Linked DNA regions of Canis lupus familiaris. The protein of the gene in region 1 purifies or fractionates together with the protein of each later gene. This does not show direct contact. Links are inferred from orthologs where the notes say so. Each region holds a gene or a part of one and is shown on either strand. Other genes may lie near its edges. The genes, in order: GAN and NUDCD3.

Region 1 (3,816 bases):
TAAACCTTAATTCCCATCTTGCTCTGTACCCCATAGCTTGGAAAGGGGAGCTTCCTTGGGCAGAGGGAATTGTTTTATAGAAAAAAAAAAAAAAGAGTTTGAGATTCTCGCATATGACAGGCACCTGCATTGTATTTGTGATGCCTGGGTACTGTTGCTTCAGTAGGACCAATATCCCGGTTGCATCCCATTCTTGCTGATGTCCCTTTACTCTCTGTGCCCACCTATTTTGCTGGGGATTTAATGAAACCCAGGGAAGAAGGTTATAAATAATGAGACTTTCTTTTTCTTTGCCATCCTCAAGCCCCCAACCCCTGATTTTATGATTTAAAGTATAACATGAGGGCTCTTAAGAATAATCTTAGGTTGAACCAGAACTAGCTTTTTAACAGGAAGAGGTTAGTGTATCTTACGTGTGGTGATGTGAGAATGCATTTTATCTTTACTCTTTTTGAGAGCTTCTTTCCTGTTCTCTCCCTTATTCCTTCCTCATCTTACTTTACCTTTCTCATTTGTGAGAGCCTCATCCTACGTGTTTCCTAAGTATCCTAAATGTACTGCTTGCCTTCTCTGGATACATTCATTCAGTCAACTTTGGTGATTGTCATTCTTTTTGAAGCTTTTGGGTTAATTTCATGACACTATTCCTTCCTTTTCTCTGAACACTAGGTGGTGGGTGGTGCATGTAAGGTTATATGTATGATTGTTAAAAATGAATGCATTTAGATTAATTTTGGGACAGTCCTTAAAATACTGAAGATACTCAGAAGCATCAGGAAACTAGACTGAGGACCAATCCTCTTATCTAACTTTTAAAATCAGTTCAGCAGCAGCTATAACAACTCGTAAGCCAGTAATTGCATATACCTGTTCAGGCTTGGATTTGAATCTTGAAACCTTATTTACAGGTTGACTTCTGTGTTTTGTTCCCAATTTAAATTAATTATGGTTTAAGAAAAAAATAAACAAAAAAATTAATTATGGTTTAAAACCGTAGTTGCAACATAAATTATAACAAACTCCTTATCTGGCAGTTTAGTTTTATCAGGATGGAATGTAGTGATTTTCTCACATGCCTGTACCTGACTGGTGTACAGCTATCACTGTTTTGTGGCTGAATTTAATATGTCAAGTAAACAAGAAATTTTTTCTTACTTGTGACTTACTCGACACACTTCTTTCCACAGTTTTGTTGCTCAGTTTATAAGGTGATTGGCAGTCATACATTTTTTTCTATATCTGCGGTACACAATATATAAAATGTGGCAAAATGTTTCTTGCTGTACTGTACCCTGGAACCTCTCCTTCACATTTTCAAGTGTAGGACAACTGCCCATTCTTTGGGAAAGAAGAGTCTGACCATTGTGATTGTGGTAATATTCTAGAGGCTTGTTTCTTTAAATTGCCTTAGTGTTGCCTGCAAAAACTGAAGTGGGTGGATGAAGAAGCATTAGAAGATTAAGGAAAAGTGAAGTTCATAACGATAAACAAGAAATCTTACCTTAGGAGTTCCTTCCAGAAAGTAGATTTGAGACCAGAGTGTACGTGTTGCACTGAATGCAGTTTGGCATTTGGAATGAGGTCCTTGGGCAGCATGGCCCTCCCTTCTCCAAGGGGCTGATGTGGTGTGTCTGGCAGGCCATCTGGCAAAAAATGGAACGTGGTATATATCTAGAGGCAAGATTTGCCACAGTTCCAGTGCTAGTATTTAAAGAACTCCCTTTAGTTTACCACAGAAAGGAGAACTGTCCACCTCCTAATAAGCATTTCAGGCACTAAGGCCTAGAAGTAAACAATATGGACAGTGTACCCAGGAAGGGTTCATGATAGTTAATGTTGGTAAAGCAAGGAAAGTGCTGGGAAAACTCAACCGGCCATATTCTGTTCACATGGTTTGAAGATTCACCGGTGCCCTCAAACTCCTTTTGAAAAAGATGACCTAGGTTGGACTGTGTGAAATTGCCAATATTTGATCATCTTTGACCTACAAAAGTGGAACTTTCATGTAGTTCCACCTAATAGGTTAGCAGTTTGGGCTTTAATACATATATTGAAATGTAAAGTATTTGTGATACTCCTGCAGATCCGGCTGAATGAAGATACAATCCAAGATGTTGTACAGGCAGCAGACTTGCTCCTGCTGACGGATCTTAAAACTCTGTGCTGTGAGTTTTTGGAAGGCTGCATTGCCGCTGAGAACTGCATTGGCATCCGCGACTTTGCACTCCACTACTGCCTGCACCATGTCCATTACCTTGCCACAGAATACCTGGAGACTCATTTCCGAGATGTCAGCAGCACAGAAGAATTCTTAGAACTCAGTCCTCAGAAACTTAAAGAAGTGATTTCTCTCGAGAAGTTAAATGTTGGCAACGAAAGATATGTGTTTGAAGCAGTAATTCGATGGATAGCACATGATACAGAACTAAGAAAGGTACCTGTGGTTTATAACATGGTCTGACTTTGCCTTTTTACTTACTTATTCCATTCATTCCTTCATTTATTTAGTCCAAAGTATAGGTGTTCTGTCTCTCCCCTTCAACTTGAAAGGCTTACAAAGTTGTGATCTAAAAGATGTCTGGGGGCACCTGGCTGGCTCAGTCGACTGGCCTCCAACTCTTGATTTTGGCCCAGGTCATGATCTCAGGGTCATGAGATCAAGCCCTGCATCAGGCCCCACCCTCCCGACTTGGGATTCTCTCTCTCTCCTCTCTCTGCCCCTCCCCCTACGTGATGTCTCTTTCTCTCTCTCTCTCTGTCAAATAATAAAATCTCTTAAGAAAATAAAAGATGTCTGTGGTACATCTTTGCATAGTATCATTGAAGTGGTTGTTTTTTTCAGACCAGACTATAAAAGCTCATGTAACTCATAGCAATAAAAATATTAATACTTGTAAGGAACATAATATTGTTTGTGCATTGCCTTTAGTGGGAAAATTAATTTCAAGCTTGAGGTGTGGATTATAGAAATTCATTGTCCCCACTGTCTTGTTCAGCATCCATCCCTGTATCATTACTGGTGACCCATGCAGGAACTCTGATATAGGCAGCAGAGTGAGAGGGGGCACACACCGCTCTGGCAGAGGAGTGAGGGGAGTGGACCTCAGAAACCTCTGTGGTATGGGCTCTCCCGGGAGTGATTGATACCACTCAGCACAAAGCAGGAGATCACTCTGTAATGTGGCAATGCAATTTCCAGATGGGAAGGTTGTGGGAGCAACAACTGGGAAGGAAGGGTCTCAGAATTATCAGGCTTTAGAGCTAAACTATTACTACAGTGTGGGAGGGGGCAAAATCACAGACCTTTAAGTCTGGTATTTATAGACACCAGCTTCAACTACTATATTCAAAATAAGAAGGTTTTAGAGTAGTTTTAAAATGTATAATTGCATTGTTAATCATTCTCAGCAGCTGTTGATGTAGGTTTTAGTGAATATCTTGTAACTGTTAAAATTCTATCAGCCTATTTAGGAACTATGAGCTACTGTAATAGAGATGGAAACTGTTAGATCTGTAATGATATAGAAATACACACTCCCATATGATAGTAGTCTTGGCATAGTTAGCACAGCTAGCATTGGTTTTCCACGTTCATTGGGTAGATAAGGAAAGAGGATAAGAGAGTTCTGGATTCACTGCTGTTCATAGAGACCACGGTCACTAGCTGTCTCTTCCTTTCTTCTAGGGATGAGGTTGCCAGGGAAACAAGAGGTAGTTCTTCACCCTTTGATTAATCTGAACTTCATGCCTTAAGACCTCTTGGCTTTTGCCACTCAGGATATGGAATAGTATACCTTAAAATAACCATTCCAAAAC
Region 2 (3,816 bases), on another chromosome or scaffold:
GGGGCTTCCTTTCACCGTACTTCTATATTAAATTCAGTGTGTTTGGAACCCTTTTGGATCTTTCTCTCTTTTTTTGTTCCTAGTTTTATTAAGGTATAACTGACCTATGGCACTGTATTAGCTTCAGGTGTATAACAACGCTTTGATGTCTGTATTACAAAATGATCACAATAGGTTTAGTTTATATTTGTCACCATACGTTTGTGTGTGTGTGTGTGTGTGTGTGTGTGATAAGAGTGAGTTCTACTTTCTTAGTAACTTTCCCATGCATGGGTACAGTGTCGTGAGCTGCGGTCACCATGTGATGCAGGAGATCCAGGCCTCGTTGACCTTCTTCCTGGAAGTTTGTGCCTTTGACCCTCCCTCCCCCTGAGATCTTCCTCTGGTTTAGTTTTTTTTTTTTTTTTTTTCTCATTTTGCTGGACTATAGCCTCAAGGAGCTTTCTCAAGTTTTAAAGTTTTGAAGGAACTATAGCTCCTTCAAAAATATATTTACAATATATTGTAAATACAGGACTCTTGAATGTCTTAAAATGTAGTTTTTTTTTTTTTAATGTAGTTATTTTAAACATATTTATTTCATGGTTTGGTTGTGTATGGAAATCTAAAAAAATTCTCCCCTTAGAAGATTGAGGGCCTTGCCTCCCTTTTGTCTTATGTCCAGTGCTACTGTTTCTTGAGATCTCTTCCATTCAGGTTCTTTGTGAGGGAACTTTTATCCCTGGTCTTTGCAACTTTTAGGACCTTAATTTGAATAATTTGAATATTAGGAGTCCATAAGTTTGTGTGAGTCCTTTTTCCCTCGTTCTGTTCAGCCCTTGGTGGGTTTTGTCCAAAAGCACGTTTTCGACTCCGGAGTGTTATCTTGCTGCTGCGTGTGGTTTCTAGCCAGCCACCCCGATCACCTAGATTGGTCTTTGTCTCTATCTTGATAGTTTTTTTACTTTAACAGTCTTTCTGTTGCAGATTTTATTTTAGCTTCTGTGTATTTAATTCTGAGTGGGGTGTGTGTGATTGTTCTATTTTCACATTTCATTTTGGTTCCATAGTCAAACCGCTCACACCTCTCTAAGGATATATACTGGAAATACTTTAGAATTTCCTTTTTTCCTAAATCTGTAGTCTTTTTTTTTTTTTTTTTTTTTTTTAATGCTGCTGGTTTAAGGATTCAATTCTTAGTTCCCTGGTAGTTTTTTAATTAAAAAACATATTTTCCTCATTCTTTTGAATAAGGGCGGTATGGATGGTTTTCTCTGTTTTATGTCAGAGATCTGCTCCTCTACGGCTGCTGAGGGCTCAACCGGGCAGCTTTCCTGACAGCACGTGGGTCCCACCACCCACACTGTCCCCTCAGAGTGCTAGACAGACCCCTTGGTCTATGCCACTGCGGTCTTGGGGCTGCTCTGACCGCTCCGCTCCTGCCCTCCCACCTGACTGCCCGCCAGCTGCCCGTGCAGCCGAGGCTCCCAGATGCACACCAGCAGACCACTTGCTTGTTCCTGCTCTGTCCTGCCTGTCCCCACGCTCTTCTCCTTCGTCTCCTCCTCCCTTGTGTTGTCTGGGATTTTTCTCCTTGTGCTTGCTTTTTTTCCATGGGTCCCAGAGGCTGGGGCACCGTCACCTTGAACTGGAAGCATCTCTCCAGGTCCCCTCGGTGCTTTGGCTTGTCCGCTGTTGTGCAAGACTCACTGTGAGAACTTGCCCAAATTTGGAAATAACCATGTTATGTAAAGCTAGCGGGGAGGATTTTATTAAAGTGAGCTTGCTCCTGGAGTGCCTCCACCGCATGCCCAAGTTCATGGTCAGAGACATGGTGGCCCAGGAGTCTGCTGGGCTGCTGCCGAGTTGGCTGTTGGATGCCAAGTAAAGCTGGCTTGTGTGCGTGTCTTTGCCACGCTGACCGAGTGAATAGGACACCCCCAGAGGTTGGTATGGGGGCAGCTGTGCCCACAGGACGCCCCAGCCCCTGTGTGTGGGCATGGTGTGGTCTGTGGGCCACTCTGCTCTGTAGCAGCGCTTTTGTCCCCATTCCCCCCACGGTTCAGGAACTCTTCCTCTCTCGCCTGAGAGCCACCTGATGGTGGGGACTCTGGAACAGCACCCCTTCCACTGTCCCATCTTTTACTCGAGATTTACGATACAATTAGGTTATGGGAGCAGAGCTTGAATATTCTGGGACACTTAGAGTTTCTGTTCAATACTTTCTGAGTGTTTAATGAGTACTTACAAGCCATGTGGGAGGGTAGTCTCCAAACAAAAGCAGATGGAACCCCACCCTTGGGCCTGAGGTGTCCCTTCCAGTGTCTGTTCATTGAATGCACGCATTATGCAGATGCTATCATAAAAAGATATTACAGTATAGACACAGATTTTAGAGTTTAAAAAGAAGTGAAAGAGAAACTGGAGTTGTACTTGCTTTCCTCTTCCAGTTTCTGATCTGAATAACGTCCAGGGCTTCACGAGCTTTGGATGCTGTGGGCCAGGGTCCCAGCAGCTCCCATATGGTGCTGGGGACAGATGTGGGGCAGAGGGGAGAGACTATGCATGACAAGTGTGAGCTGAGAGGCTGGGTTTCTCGAGAACAGAGAAACTATGAAACCAGAGGAGCCAGCTCAGTGCCCCTGGCGAAGGCACAGCTTCTCACGGACGGACGGGGACGGAGGCAGAGCAGGCGTGTGGGGGTGTGGCCTGGCCCTCCTGGCACCCTGCGGAGCTGTGCTACCCAGGGGGCCGCGACAGCTAGACTCGGTGGGAGGCACACCCCCACCTGCGCCCGCCAGGCTTGCTTTCCGCCATGGATATTGGTCTGCCCTGATGGAGAAGGGATTTGGGTGGAAAACCAGCAGTTTGCCTGCGTCTTCATTATCCATGTTGAAACAGAACTTCTAGGATGTTTACTTGAAGGAGACCGTGGAGCACAGGCTGCTGCTTCCAGTGTCCCTGGTTGGTGGGATTCTTTTCTCCCAGAATGCCTGCTTCTTCCAGGATGGCCTGGCTTCTAGTTCTCTCCTTCTTGGGAGCGCACTGGGTGCCACCTTCACAGCACAGAGTGACACCCCTCTGCTCGGTTCCAGGTCTCGGTGGCCCTCAGCAGCAGCTCCATCCGGGTGGCTGTGCTGGAGGAGAATGGGGAGCACGTCCTCATGGAAGGGAAATTCACCCACAAGGTCAACACCGAGAGCTCTCTCTGGAGCCTGGAGCCTGGGAAGTGCGTCCTGGTGAGTGTGGGTGTCTGTGTGGGCACTCCAGGAGGAGAAAGGGGCGTGGGGTCCTACCAGTTGGTTCTCTGAAGTGGAGCCAGTGGGAATGTGAAACTCAGTGGTCCTCTGTCCTTGTGCCCACGTGGAAACCGCACACAGTGATGACAGGAGCTCCTGGCAGGGTCATCCCCAGAGCTCGGCTGTGCTTGTGCAGGATGTTCCTCCCAGTCCCAGAGGCTTCCACTCGCTGGCGACTTGGTTACATCTGAGGCAGAACCAGATAAGTGGAAAATTGAAAGGCAGATTGAATGTCATGGATTTCCTCCTGGAGGATGCAGAGTGAACAGGTTCAGATAGACCAGCTTATTTGACAAAGGAGTCTCAGCTGGCTGAGCTACTTGGGGCTGCACAGGCCAAGCGGGCTGCCTAAGTGCTCTTGTCACCGGCATCTTCAGAGGCTCATTCGGCCTCCTCGAAGCCTTGCCACCCGGTCAGTGGGCAGTGCCCAGGGGGCCTCATATGGCAAAAGGTGCCTGACTCGGGCCTGGAGAGAGGGTGCAGGGCAGTGGGAACAGACCAGGTCTTTGAACAAAAATCTCAGGATTTTACAGAAACA

Evidence for each region.
Region 2: the proteins of GAN (region 1) and NUDCD3 purify together in Homo sapiens (co-immunoprecipitation; 3 studies listed by BioGRID and IntAct, counting the BioPlex papers as one, with this or other methods). This does not show direct contact. The link is inferred for Canis lupus familiaris from reciprocal best matches to the Homo sapiens genes GAN and NUDCD3.

The regions. Positions count from the first base shown.
Region 1 is NC_049226.1:71,108,586-71,112,401, reverse strand, and holds part of GAN (gigaxonin), read left to right. Parts: intron 1-2,083; coding exon 2,084-2,434; intron 2,435-3,816. UniProt on the Homo sapiens protein: Probable cytoskeletal component that directly or indirectly plays an important role in neurofilament architecture.
Region 2 is NC_049237.1:14,211,123-14,214,938, forward strand, and holds part of NUDCD3 (nudC domain-containing protein 3), read left to right. Parts: intron 1-3,074; coding exon 3,075-3,218; intron 3,219-3,799; exon of another isoform or gene 3,800-3,816.